Linked DNA regions of Anolis sagrei. The protein of the gene in region 2 binds, or shares a complex with, the protein of the main gene of each other region. Links are inferred from orthologs where the notes say so. Each region holds a gene or a part of one and is shown on either strand. Other genes may lie near its edges.

What was found. The genes of interacting proteins can lie anywhere in the genome.
Region 1: GPKOW (region 2) and CRIPT share a complex: the UniProt entries of both Homo sapiens proteins name them as parts of the minor spliceosome. The link is inferred for Anolis sagrei from reciprocal best matches to the Homo sapiens genes GPKOW and CRIPT.

The regions. Positions count from the first base shown.
Region 1 is NC_090021.1:26,646,209-26,653,303, reverse strand, and holds the start of CRIPT (cysteine-rich PDZ-binding protein), read left to right. Parts: upstream 1-4,008; 5' UTR 4,009-4,111; coding exon 4,112-4,127; intron 4,128-5,982; coding exon 5,983-6,048; intron 6,049-7,095. UniProt on the Homo sapiens protein: As a component of the minor spliceosome, involved in the splicing of U12-type introns in pre-mRNAs. Involved in the cytoskeletal anchoring of DLG4 in excitatory synapses.
Region 2 is NC_090022.1:179,133,994-179,141,878, reverse strand, and holds the start of GPKOW (G-patch domain and KOW motifs-containing protein), read left to right. Parts: upstream 1-4,850; 5' UTR 4,851-4,892; coding exon 4,893-5,062; intron 5,063-7,885. Other genes in the region: FTSJ1 (tRNA (cytidine(32)/guanosine(34)-2'-O)-methyltransferase), read right to left, coding at 444-496, 1,332-1,410, 1,531-1,633, 1,736-1,805, 2,517-2,637. UniProt on the Homo sapiens protein: RNA-binding protein involved in pre-mRNA splicing. As a component of the minor spliceosome, involved in the splicing of U12-type introns in pre-mRNAs.

The sequences.
Region 1 (7,095 bases), on a different chromosome or scaffold from region 2:
GTTTTTTTTTAGTTCAAAACCCTAAATGATTTGTATAATGAAAGATATGTGTGCCAAGTTTGGTTCAGGTCAACCAAGCCACATTGGAGCTTTTATGATACCAGCCAACCATCATACATACCCAGTACCCGCATGCTTTGACCTATGTATATATCCATCATCATCATCATCATCATCATCATAACTTTAAAAACCAAAAAGTAAATCACAACACTGTTCCTAAGTATTTACCATGAGGAACATGAGAGAAGACAACACAAAATATACTAACAACACAAAACCCACAATTAATAAGAATAAGAATAAGAATAATAAAAACAAAAATTAACATTTGGCCTAATAAGAAAGAAAATACGACAAAACAGCACAAAATATGATAGGGGCATAACATCCAATAATAATAATAATAATAATAATAATAATTTAAAAATCAAAAATTAGCATTTGATCTAACAATAAAGAATATAAGATATGATGGCCTAAAATACAATAAGCACATAAAATTCACAACATATATTGATCCAATTTATTTATGTTAAATTTCAATTGTTATGTCTTACTTTTATTTCTTTTGTTATACATTTGTATTGTTGCAATTTTTGTTGTATATTTTATGCTGCACTGGTTTGTATTGTTGTCTTGTAAGATGCCCTGAGTCCCTCTGGGGAGATGGGGTGGGATAAAATATAGTTGTTGTTGTTGTTGTTTAATATATTATATTATTAGCATAGCACAATATTAGTATTTTAATTATTTATTGCATTTATAAATAATTATATATTATTTTATTGTACTACAACTATAGCGCAATATTATTAGTAATATCATATGCAATATATGATATACAATTTTTACATTACCATATATTATATTGTACTATATGCATACACACATACACATTTTCATTTTTTATTATGATTATATATAATGCAAGGGTTGGATGAAAAGTAATGCCTCCACCTTCGCTACTTGTGTTTGGATGGGAATATTTTAATAAATCAAACGCAGATATAATCCTTAGAATGTGCTTTTTAACTACCACTATTCACTTTTCCACATAATCACCAGACAATTGGATACATTTCTGCCAACGATGAACATAATTTCTGAAGCCGTCACGGAAGAAGTCGACGCTCTGTTTCCGCAACCAGCGTCTCACATTCTCTCATTCTGGGTAGCCATTGTGCACAGATCTTCCGATAGCCTAGCAAAGCAATAATGTGACCCACACGTCCTTGTGAAATGCCGATTATGCTTGAAATTTTTCTCTGAGTGATATGACAATCATCCTGAATCAATCTGTCAACCTTTTCTAGTCACCTCACTACCTCTGAGGATGCTTGCCATAGATGCAGGCGAAACGTCAGGAGAGAATGCCTCTAGAACATGGCCATATAGCCCTAAAAAACTTACAACAACCTAGTGATTCTGGCCATGAAAGCCTTCGACAATACATGTCAACCTTTTGCTTGTGAAACTCGGTGGTTGCTGTCACAGGACGTCCAAATCTTTCTTTGTCATGCAAGTCAGATGTTCCCACCTCAACATCTTTAAACTTGGGTTGTTGTAGTTTTTTCAGGCTATATGGCCATGGTCTAGAGGCATTCTCTCCTGACGTTTCACCTGCATCTATGGCAAGCATCCTCAGAGGTAGTGAGGTCTTTAAACTTATTCACCCAACGATGCACAGTACTCACATCAACACAATCACCATAAACAGCTTGCATTTTGGGGGTGACACCTTCTGCTGTCAAAAATTCAATGACTGCATGGTGCTTAAGTCGCATTGACCGACTGTCTGCGCAGGGTTCCATACTTTGCACTTTAACGTTCAATGCTAAGGCTTCCTGCCAAAATGGAACTGCAAGGGAGGGTCTACTGAACAAACCAGTACCTGCCACATACCATGACTACCATCTGTTGAGTTATGAAGGTGGAGGCATTACTTTTCATTCAACCCTCGTATATTAGTAGTATTTTTTTGTTGTTGTTCATTCATTCAGTCGTTTCCGACTCTTCGTGACTTCATGGACCAGCCCACGTCAGAGCTCCCTCTCGGTCGTCACCACCCCCAGCTCAATCCAGTCACTTCAAGGATACCGTCCATCCCTTGGTCGGCCCCTCTTCCTTTTTCCTTCCATTTTCCCCAGCATAATTGTCTTCTCTAAGCTTTCCTTTCTTCTCATGATGTGGCCAAAGTACTTCAACTTGGCTTCTACTATTCTTCCCTCCAATGAGCAGTCAGGCTTTATTTCTTGAAGTTTGGACTGGTTGGATCTTCTCGCTGTCCAAGGTACTCTCACCACTTTCCTCCAACACCACAGTTCAAAAGCGTCTATCTTCCCTCGCTCAGCCTTCCCTATATAGCAGTGTTTCTCAACCTGGGGGTCGGGACCCCAGTGGGGGTCGCGAGGGGGTGTCAGAGGGGTCGTCAAAGACCATCAGAAAATATAGTATTTTCTGTTGGTCATGGGGGTTCTGTGTGGAAAGTTTGGTCCAATTCTATCATTGGTGGGGTTCAGAATGTTATTTCATTGTGGGTGAACTATAAATCCCAACAACTACAACTCCCAAATGTCAAAGTCTATTTTCTCCAAACTCTACCAGTGTTCACATTTGGGCATATTGAGTATTTGTGCCAAGTTTGATCCAGATCCATCATTACTTGAGTCCACAGTCTGGATATAGGTGAACTACAACTCCAAAAACTCAAGGTCAATGTCCACCAGACTTTCCCAATATTTTCTCTTGGTCATGGGAATTCTGTGTGCCATGTTTGATTTAATTCCATCATTGATGGCGTTCAGAAGGCTCTTTGATTTAAGGTGAACTATAAATCCCAGCAACTCCAGCATTACCAAATGACAAAATCAATCACCCCCAACCCCACCAGTATTCAAATTTTGGGCGTATCGGGTATTTGTGCCAAATTTGGTCCAGTGACTGAAAATACATCCTGCATATCAGATATTTACATTACAATTCATAACAGTATCAAAATTACAGTTATGAAGTAGCAACGAAAATAACGTTATGGTTGGGGGTCACCACAACATGAGGACCTGTACTAAGGGGTCACGGCATTAGGAAGGTTGAGAACCACTGCTATATAGGGTCCAGCTCTCACATCTGTAGGTGACTACGGGGAATACAATTGCTTTTACTATGCGGATCTTTGTTGCCAGTGTGATGTCTCTACTCTTCACTATTTTATCAAGATTGGTCATTGCTCTCCTCCCAAGAAGTAAGTGTCTCCTGATTTCCTGGCTGTAGTCTGCGTCTGAAGTAATCTTTGCACCTAGAAATACAAAGTCTGTCACGGCCTCCACGTTTACTCCCTCTATTTCCCAGTTGTCAATCATTCTTGTTGCCATAATCTTGGGTTTTTTTATGTTTAGCTGCAACCCAGCTTTTGCACTTTCTTCTTTCACCTTGATTAGAAGGCTCCTCAGCTCCTCCTCGCTTTTGGCCATCAAAGTGGTGTCATCTGCATATCTGAGGTTGTTAATGTTTCTTCCAGCAATTTTCACCTCAGCCTTGCATTTGTTAAGCCCCGCACATCGCATGATGTGTTCTGCATACAAGTTGCATTATTAGTAGTATTACATTACAATAAAAATCCAGTGAGAGGGTGCTTCCAGACTGTATAATGTATGCAGTTGGACACCATTTGAACTGGCCATAGAATCCTGGGAGTTGTAGTTTCAAAAGGCCTACAACTCTCAGGATTCAGTAGCACTGAGCCAGGGCAGTCCAAGTGGTGTCAAGAGTACATTAATTCTATAGTTCCAGGGAGTGGAGGGGAAAGGGTAAGCTCACCTGTCTGCCTTCAGCTGCTAGTGGGCGGGGCTTAGTGGGCCGAATCCAAGAGGGCGCCTCCAAGCCCCTTTCCCAACCACCACCATCACTGAGGAGAAGCCATTGACGTCATCGCGCTCCACGCCCTGCGCGCGCCCTACGTGCCTTGCGTCCTGCCTTCTCCCCGCCCCTTAGGCGTTCTCAACCAATACGACGAAGGCGGAAGTGAATAGCGGAGGCAGGAAGCCGGAAGTGCGAAGGGATTGTATTGTTGTCGGAGACGCTGCTGTTGGCTTCGCGAGTGGGGTTCGCCATGGTCTGCGAAAAGTGTGAGTGGAAAAGACAGGGATATATAGTTGTGAAAGAACTATATAATAGAGTGTTGTTATTGTTATTGTCTTAATGGAGACAGTTTTCAAGCCCGTACACCAGGCCTGCGCAAACTTGGGCCTTCAGGGTGTTTTGGACTTCAACTCCCAGAATTCCTAACAGCCTACCGGTTGGGAGTTGAAGTCCAAAACACCCTGAAGGCCCAGGTTTGCCCAGGCCTGCACTAAACAGATATATCCCCTTTGGGGTGAGAAGGGCGGTAAGTGCAGTGTGCAAGCAATCTTAAAGTCTAATAAAGTGCTTCTGGGACATGTTGTTGGAGTTTTCCTATTCTGGAAAGGCACATCGGAACAGCCAAGTCTTCAAGTTCTTCCTAAAGACTGCCAACATAGGGGCCTGTCTAATATCTTTGGGGAGGGTGTTCCAGAGTCGGGGGGCCACCACAGAAAACGTCCTGTCTCGCATCCCCACCAGACGCGCCTGCGACGCAGGTGGAATCGTGAGCAGGGCTTCTCCGGATGAGCGAAGAGAACGCGTGGGTTCATAAACGGAGATGCGTATATAGACCCACAGCCAGTACACCGATCTTGGAAGACAATCCTACTCGGACAACAAGAAGAAGATCATATAGTGTTACCTGAAGCGGAGTTGGTAGATCAAAAGACAACCTGGCAAAATGGCACTACCTAGAAGAATCCTCCACTTTGTGCGATTGTGGAGCAGAACAAACAACTCCGTATCTGTATGCTTGCCCACAATGCCCCGCCTCATGCACAGCGGAAGAACTATTTAAATCGACAGACAGTGTGGTTGTTGTTTCCCGGTTTTGATCTACAATGATTTAACTGCTTGTGCTCTCTTTGTTTTATCAGTTTTATACTTATTTATTTGTGGTATGCTTTTGACATGAAATAAAACAAACCATAAACCCTACATTCCAAAAGGATTTCTCACTGAATATACACTTGGAAAGAACCTTTTCCAATTTGCACAATTTTTTTAGTAACTCATAACTCTGGAACTCCCTCCCTAAAGAACTAAAAATGCCCCCCTTAAAAACCTATTTATGCACTTTAGCATATGGAGTGGAGGCAGATTAGTATATCTTAATTGTATACTCTCATTTAGATACTGAAAATCTCCCTCAGTCCTGTTGGTAGCAGTTAACCACTCCATATTTTAATGCATTTTAGCTACTCAGTTTTACTCGTATTATGTTGGTAAATGTGTGTAATGTGATATATTATGTTTATTTAAGTTCTTTTTGGGTAGTATTGGTTAGTTTTTATTAGTTTATATTGATGTTTTATTTATTATGCTGATTGATTTGCTGTTTGTTTTATTATGGCATTGAATGTTTGCCACTTTTGATGGAAACCGCCCTGAGTCCCCTCAGGGAGAAAGGGCGGGTTACAAATATATTATTATTATTATTATTATTATTATTATAAACCAGGAAAACATTATGAGATTCTTATAACAATATCACATATTGTTAATACAATATTAACAAGGGATAGGGGCTTGAAGAGAAATGGAAGGTGGACGTGGGCTTTATATGTTTGACTGTATTCTCCTAAGTAAGTCCGTTTGGAATTGCAATCTTATGTATAATAACTTGGCAGTACATTCACTAATCTGAATAATATTTCCTTTTGAGTAAATATGAGTAACACTCATGCTATGCATCCTTCACATCCCATTATAGCATCGTATGATACTAGAATTGAAAGAATGAACTACTTTGTTTTACTAGTATCGCCAGGGGGGTAAACAACATTTCTGATGTGTTTTCATTATAAAACTGTTCAGAGTGTCACAATCTTTGCTTTGTATTTTTGCACTTTTCAATAGGTGAGAGAAAACTGGGTACTGTCATTACACCTGATACATGGAAAGATGGCGCAAGAAACACAACAGGTAGTTCCAAAACATGTGTCACTACATAGATATGTGTTCCTGGTGTTCATTTAAGACAGTCTCTTATTTTTCTGTTGAGATGAATATGGCTAGAAAATTAAATATTAGTTCAGAGAAAGAGAAAAGCTTGAAAACCTCAGACCCTACACTGATCAGCTCATATAATGCGGTTTAACTTCATTGCACTGCATTATGTGAGTTTATACTGACATATAATCCAATTTCAAACTGCATTATATAGCAGTGTAGATGAGGCCATAGTCTCAGTAAGGAGTTTATGTGTCTGGCTGACTATCTTTTTGAAAGTTACTAAAACTCAGTTCAAAATAAAATTGCTTTCTAATATTAATTTTCTCTTCAGTTGTTTAGTGATTGCATATTACACAATCACCATATTTTGTAGAATCCTTATGGGCATACATCAGTCCTTGATTGCTTTTATGTCTGTTTGAATCACATTGTGTGTATCCTTGATAGCTTATTATTATGTTTGTTTATACTAGGGGTCCTCAAACTTTTTAAACCGAGGGCCAGGTCACAGTCCCTCAAACTGTTGGAGGGCCGGATTATAATTTGAAAAAAACATGAATGGATTCCTATGCACACTGCACATATCTTATTCGTCGTGCAAAAAACACTTTAAAACAATACAATAATTAAAATGAAGAACAATGTTAACAAATATAAACTTATTAGTATTTCAATGGGAAGCGTGGGCCTGCTTTTGGCTGATGAGATAGGATTGTCATTGTTGTGTGCTTTCAAATAAATTCAAACTTAGGTTGACCCTGAGCGAAGGCTGGGTAAATGACCTTGGAGGGCCGTATCCGGCCCTCGGGCCTTAGTTTGAGGACTCCTGGTTTATACCCTGCTTTTTCTCTCCACAAGGAGACTCAAAACAGCTAAGTACTGATGCAGCTTGCTTAAGAAACTTTTTAACTGGGTAATGTGGGAATGATCAAATTTGGTGTTGATGAACTTGGTTCCGAGGATCCAGCTGCATCAGTAAGATGTCTGAACTTTAATCTATTTTGTATATTCTCAATC
Region 2 (7,885 bases):
TAGATAGATAGATAGATAGATAGATAGATAGATAGATAGATAGATAAGATAGATAGACAGACAGACAGACAGACAGGAAACTGGCATGCATATGCTAGGAAGGACACGTAGCACTGAGCACATGCACCTTGATAAGGTCCCTCCAAAGTCTAGAGCTGGATTTTTCCAGTGTAGAGTTCCCAGATTTAAAATTCAGAAAAATGTGTTTTGGGGAACTTCAATGCCCAGAACTTCCCATCTACCAGACCACTAGCCATGATTCCTGAGGGAGTCTAGGAGTTAGTCTCCAAAAGGTAAGTTTCCTAAGCTCGTGTGGATCTGATAGACTCCCTGCCATCTAGGCAGCTTCCCTTTGAAAGGAAATGTATTCCATAATGTAAATCAATCCCTACATCCAACGGGGCTGAGTTTGGGAGAGAGGGAGGAACAATGGAAATACTCACAGCAAGCAGCAGCTGGGCCTGAATGTATTCATCAATGTCATGGAGCCCTGTCACTGGAACAGCAAAGGATACATACATCAAAATAAATACAGGAAGCTATTCCTCACTTTTTGTAAAGCTAACTGGAGAATTGCAATTGGCTAAAGATTTTGGAAATTAGATACAGAGGATTTATGTTTTATTGATTTTATTGTTTATGGAATTTTATGGATGTTTATATGTTTTTAACTGTTTATATTATTGTGGCATCGAATTGTGCCAGTTTTGTAAACCGCCCTGAGTTGCCCTCGGGCTGAGAAGGGTGGTATAGAAATATAGTAAATAAATAAATAAATAATAAGTCCCAGGTGGACTGAGAATGTGGCTGCAGTACACAGACATAAGCAATTATGACAGGAGCACAGAAGCCATGAAAGAAGTAAGGTACTGGAGAAATATAGTCAGTGCTACACATTTGTGGGTTCGACTTTTGTGGATTTGATTTATAGACTTCATTAAAATCTCTCTAGGAATCTCCAGGTCCTCCAGTGTGATTCTATGGTCAACTTCCTCCAGGCCATGAAGTCACGCTGAAGAATACTTAAAAGAACACTTCTCTAAGGTCTCTTGGCTTTCCAGTGCAATCCTATGGTCAGTTTCTAGCAGATGCTGAGCCAAGAACCAAGCAGAAAGATCTAGAAATTCCTAGAGACATGTTTTCTCAGCTAATAAAAGCAACAATTTTTCATGTATGATATTTTACATTTAGGGAGGCACTGTGCCTTTAAGCCCAGAGAATGTGGGAGGCTGACTGCACCCTGTTTAGAGATGGCAGATTCTCCCTGGCCAATGGTGCACAATCCTGGGAAAAGTAGAAACAGTAAGATTATGGCTGTGATTTCTACCTACCATCAGGAGCTCCATCACACACCACCAAGTCAGCAGGTTGCCCTTCAAAATGATGGATTATCTCTTCTGCTGTAGAGACCTGGAAGCAGAGGGAGAGAAGTGATGGGGTGGGTTATAATGGCCAAAGGGTTGCTATTAAGTAGGCCTTAAATTCAAGGAGAGGTAGGGTGGATTTTGAATTGGGTTGGAAACACAATACCTTGGTAATGTCCCCCTGAATTTGAATAACTCCAGACAAGGGAGCCATGGCTTGCAAATCTACAGCCACTATTTTGACATCTTCATTTTTAGCACCTTCTCCTCTGTAGAAAAAAAAGGGTGTGTGTGTGTTGAGGATGAATTTCTGGTTATCTCCTATAAGGTGGTAGTCCCCCATAAACACTACAACAAAGTGACTTGCTTACTTCAGTTTTCGGCTCAAAACTTGGCTCCAGCTCCCAGGAGCAGCACAGAGATCCACAGCCCTTGAGACACCTAGAGAGAGAAAAGAGGGAATAAGAAAGGTAAGGGGATGCCATGGCAAGAAGACTGCAATATGAGACTAGGAAGTACAACTCATGGGTTTCTTTCCTGAAAAAAGATAGTAGGGGAAAAAGGAAGGTTTCCAAGTTTGCTCAAATTTCGAAATGATAGCCTTGCTTCTGAGCCCCAAAATATTATCTCCATGGCAAACAAACAGTATTCTGTATATGCTCAAAGGAAGTGTTCTATTGCCAAGCTTGAAGTGATTTCTGCACAGTCCACTGTAAACACTGCAAATTTGTGAAAATGGGTGGCATTCAGAAACCTTTTTCCAATTTTTTTGTGATCCCAATATTGAGCTAAAGGGGACCCCATTTGAGGTTGGGACTCACAGTTTAAGAATAGTGGTCTAGACCAGTGATTCTCAAACTCTGATCCTCCAGATATTTTGGACCTTCAGGAAATCTAGAAGTTGAGGTCCCAAACATATGGAGGGCCAAAACTGACAGCTATTCGGCAGAGTAAATTTGATTATTTCTTGCAGCTTAACTTCCCATCACTTTTATCCTACCAGATAAAAGTCCTCCTTGGCTAAGATGGCTAGGATTGATCAGAGTTGCAGTACAAGAACATCTGCAAGATTGTACCACTCCCATGCACAACTGAAATGTTTCACCCCACACATTCTGGATAGATGAATTCCAATTGTATGATGGGGCTCACCTTGAAACAAATGATATTCTTCATCCAGTTGGAGAAGTTTGAAGGCGCTGCGAGCTCGCCAGCCTTCCTCCTTCGCCAAGCGGTAGTAAATGTCCCGTTTGTCCTTAGAGGAACGTCCCATCTTCCCTTACATGAAATGTCCTGGATGTGAGAGAGAAGAAAAACAATTGACTACTATGTCAGCAAGAATTATGAATTGAGCAGCAGCATTGGCTTATTATAATCAATGAAATCAAGGCATCCATATTGGTTAAAAGTGAAGATGGTTCAAGGAATAATAAAGCTGAAGAGCCCACGTGGGTCATCCAGTCCACCCCTTGCCATGCACAATCAGAGCAGACAGCCTATCAAACCCCCACACTATAGGAATGGAAAACATGTGTTTCTAGACAAAAGTTCCTAACCTCTCTGACCACTGGCTAAAGCCCCTTCCACACAGCTGTATAAAATCCCACATTACCTGCTTTGAACTGGATTATATGGCAGTGTGGACTCTGATAACCCATTTCAAAGCAGATGTGAATTATCTGCCTTGATATTCTGGGTTATACAGCCGTGTGGAATTACCCCTTCTACACTGCTATAGAAAATTTATTTATTATTTATGACATTTATATGCCACCCTCCTCACCCTGAAGAGGACCCAGAGCGGCTTACAAGATATATATACATTCAATATATATTATTAGCATAGTATAATGTCAGTATTATATATTACTAACTTTCACCTGCCACGGGTTGCTGTGGCCCAGTCTGCTGATCTGGAAAATAAAGTAACGGGAAAGTGTTGGTTTCTAATATATGTAATTTCTTTATGCTTGTGGGTAAACAATATTTCTTGCTGTTTCTTTGCCAGTGTTGATGTGGAGATGGTCTGGTTTGCCTACTGTAGAACATGCAACATATAATTTTTCTTCTTTAGGGGTCCTTTTCAAATCTATGATACTATATCTGTGTGTGGATCATATCTATCTATTTATATCTATGGCTGGATGGCTCTTTGTCAGAAGGGCTTTGATTATATTTTCTTGCCCTGGTGAAAGGAGTTGGACTGGATGGCCTTAAGGCAGCATTTCTCAACCTGGGGGTCGGGACCCCAGGTGTGTGTGTGTGTGAGGAGGTGTCAAAAGGGTCACCAAAGAAAAACACAGTATTTTCTGTTGGTCCTGGGGCTTCTGTGTGGGAAGTTTGGCCAATTCTATCGTTGGTGGGATTCAGAATGCTCTGTGTAGGTGAACTATAAATCCCAGTAACTACAACTCCAAAATGTCAAGGTCTATTTCCCCCAAACTCCACCTGTGTTCGTATTTGGGCATATTGAGTATTCATGCCAAATTTGGCATAGATCTTTCATCGTTTGAGTCCACAGTGCTCCCTGGATGTAGGTGAACTGCAACTCCCAAACTCAAGATCAATGCCCTCTAAACCCTTCCAATATTTTCTGTTGGTCAAGTGAGTTCTGTGTGCCAGGTTTGGTTCAATTCCATCATTGATGGAGTTCAGAATGCGCTTTGATTGTAGGTGAACTATAAATCCCAGCAACTACAACTCCCAAATGAAAAAATCATAATTTTTGAGTGATGGTCACTCTTTGTGTTGTGAAATGTTTTGTTGCCAAATTTGGTGTAATTGGTTCTTTTGTTTTTAAGGTACTCATTATGCACAGAGCATTTTAATATATATACTATAATTACCATTATATTGTAATTTTATTAGTAATATGACATGTAATATAAAATATATAATTATTATATTGTATTATTATTAGTATTATATTGTTTTACATTACAATATTATAAATATATGTATATACAATATATTATATAAGTAAACCACAGGAGACAAGATGGAACTGTCTTCTGCCCCCCCCCTTCCAGACTGTATAGACTCATATAATCCAGTTCAAAGCAGCTAATGTGGCTGATCTTCTTTGGTAATCTGGATTATATGACAGGGGGCCTTAAAAGCATCTGAAAAAATGGGAGGAGTTTTCCTGACAAACCGAGACAACGGAAGGACATCGGGTATCCAGTGGAGACATCCATAAACGATGATCTCTTTATAAATCTGCAAACCGAATAAGAAAAAGCAAAGGTCTCTATAATTACCAGTGTAAATTCAGACAGTGCTCGATTGTTATCTTCAGAGAGCAGAGAAAAGCGTGGAAGAGAAGAAGCGCATGCGCAACATGACTTATGTGCGGCCGGCTCCGGAAGGAAGTGCTGTTGCCGCATTGCATCCTGGGAGTTGTCGTCCTCAGGCGCCTCTGTTTCAGAACTTCGATAAAGAAGCGGGAGTCTCTAAAACTTCGTCTCCCATGATGCAACGCAACGACGTAAGTGGCGATGGGGGCGGGGCAAGGCAGGGGAAAATAAGATGGCGGAAGGAGCAGAGAAGTCAGCGGCCACTCCGCCGGCCCCGGTCTCTTTCGGCTTCACTCGGACCACTGGGCGGAGGCGGTTTTTGGTGGTGACCGGGCAGGATGGCGGCGAGGCGAAGCAGGAGCCCGACTTCCTCTCAGCCGTCGAGGGACGGGAGTTGCAAAGGTAGGCCGGCTTCCTGCTCTCGACCAGCTTGGGCCTAGGAGCAGGGGGCGCCTCTCAAGGCGCAGCTACATTGTGGAATGAGCGCACTTCGACACCGCTTTAACTGCCTCGTCTCAATGTTGTTAAATTCAAGGATTTGACAGTGTTATTTCAATGTTTAAATGGGCAGTACTTACTTTGAAGGTAGTTGTTCTACTCCAGAAACTTCGTTTTTGTGGCTGCCGTAAACTATGTGGAATTGGTCGATCCTCTATTGAGATATTCATTGAAAAACTAGAGCAAATGTGTTGCAAGATGCCCCAGTGCAAGGTCTTTGCAGTTTAATAATCTTTTCCATGTTTTTATGATAGACCCAATTAGGAAATTTATTTATTTATTTATTTCGAGTACTTCTAGCCCGCCCTTCTCAACCCCCGAGGGGGGACTCAGGGCGGCTTACAAAAAGGCACAATTCGATGCCGACACAAAATACACATAACGTACAAAACCATAATTAAAACAATTAGCACAGTTAAAACAGTCGGTATATAACACATCAATAAAACTAATCTCATGCTCAGCATTCGTCTTTCAGAGTTCCATAATTCCATTCATTAGTCAATTCCTGTCCATCGTCAAAGTCCTTTCTTTATCTGCCAGATTATCCGAATGCCTGGTCCCAAATCCATGTTTTCAATTTTTTCCTAAAGGAAAGGAGGGATGACACTGATCTAATTTCCCTGGGGAGTGAATTTCACAGGTGGGGGGCCACCACTGAGAACGCCCTGCTCCTCGTCCCCACCAACCTCACTTGTGATAGAGGCGGGGTCGAGAGCAGGGCCTCCCCAGAAGATCTTAGACTCCGAGGTGGGACGTAAAGGGAGATCCGTTCGGACAGATACACTGGGCCGGAACCGTATAGGGTTTTGTAGGTCAAAACCAGCACTTTGAATTGTGCTTGTAATTGGATCGCCAGCTAGTGGAGCTGACACAACAGGGGGGTGGTATGCTCCCTGTATGACGCTCCGGTGAGCAATCTCGCTGCCTCCTGCTGGACTATTTGGAGTTTCAGAACAGTCTTCAAAGGCAACCCCACGTAGAGTGCGTTGCAGTAATCTAATCGGGATGTAACAAGAGCGTGGACCACCGTGGCCAGATCCAACTTCCCAAGGTACGGGCACAGCTGGCGCACAAGTTTTAGTTGTGCAAAAGCTCTCCCGGCCACCGCTGGGTTACATTGATAACCCAGGAACAGAAACCGTGTTACAATGAGGCAGGCTGGCTCTGTCAAAATTACACTCTTTAGAGACTTACTAGTGTTCAGATTGTAGTTGTTGACAGCTTTCGGCTATTGTTGTTGTTCATTCGTTCAGACATTTCCGACTCTTCGTGACCTCATGGACCAGCCCACGCCAGAGCTCCCTGTTGGCCGTCACCACCTCCAGCTCCTTCAGGGTCAATCCAGTCACTTCAAGGATCCCATCCATCCATCTTGCCCTTGGTCGGCCCCTCTTCCTTTTTCCTTCCGTTTCCCCCAGCATCATTGTCTTCTCCAAGCTTTCCTTTCTTCTCATGATGTGGTCAAAGTACTTCATCTTGGCCTCTACTGTCCTTCCCTCCAATGAGCAGTCGGGCTTTATTTCCTGGAGGATGGACTGGAGGAATCCTTTCCAGCCAACAAACCTTTATATGGCCCTGGGTATATCTATATAAATAAAAATGAAATGTTCGTTTGTGGGATTAACATAACTCACTGGACAAATTGACACCAAATTTGGACAGAATACACCTATCAGGCCAACAAGTGACCGTCACTCATAAAAACACTGAAAAACACAGCAGCAATCCAAGGCACGCTCAGCTCTTTCCTCCAACACCACAGTTCAAAAGCATCTATTTTCCTTTGCTCAGTCTTCCTTATGGTCCAGCTCTCACATCCGTAGGTGACTATGGGGAATACCATTGCTTTCGGCTAACAAATGTATTATAACATGAAGTACAGTTTACTTGCTAAGTGCACACAATTCATTGGTACATATAAGTCTATTACTAGAGATCTGGATCGAGATGGCAAATTCTTAGAACCATAGAATACTAAGCATGGAAGGTGCAGCACTCAATACATAACGGAAGCACTTTTGAAAGATGCCCATCTGACATCAGTTTAAAGGCCTCTAAAGGAGGAAGGCTCACTGCATTTATTAGCTGGCTTATCTAGTGCCAATTGTGTATATTTGTGATGCTGTAGATCAGGGGTTCTCAAACTAAAGCCCGGGGGCCGGATATAGCCCTCCAAGGTCATTTACCCGGCCGTCGCTCAGAGTTGACCTAAGTCTGAAACTACTTGAAAGCATACAACAACAACAATCCTATCTCATCAGCCAAAAGCAGGTCCACACTTCCCACTGAGATACTAATACGTTTATATTTGTTAAAATTGTTCTTCATTTTAATTATTGTATTGTTTTTAAATGTTTTTTGCACTACAAATAAGATATGTGCAGTGTGCATAGGAATTCATTCATGTTTTTTTTCCAAATTATAATCTGGCCCTCCAACAGTTTGAAGGACTGTGACCTGGCCCTCTGTTTAAAAAGTGTGAGGACCCCAGCTGTAGAGTATCTGATGCTATACAAGTAGTCCCTGAGTTACAGACATGATAGGTTCTGTAGATTTGTTCATAAGTTGAATTTGTATGTAAGCGGAAACAGAACTGTAACTCCAGCCAAATATGTATACAGTATATGTATGTGTGTGCACACATATACATATACATGCGTGCACACAAATACACATGCTTTAAATAGCATGGGGAAGGGTTAAGACCCCTGTGGTGGTTGTTTG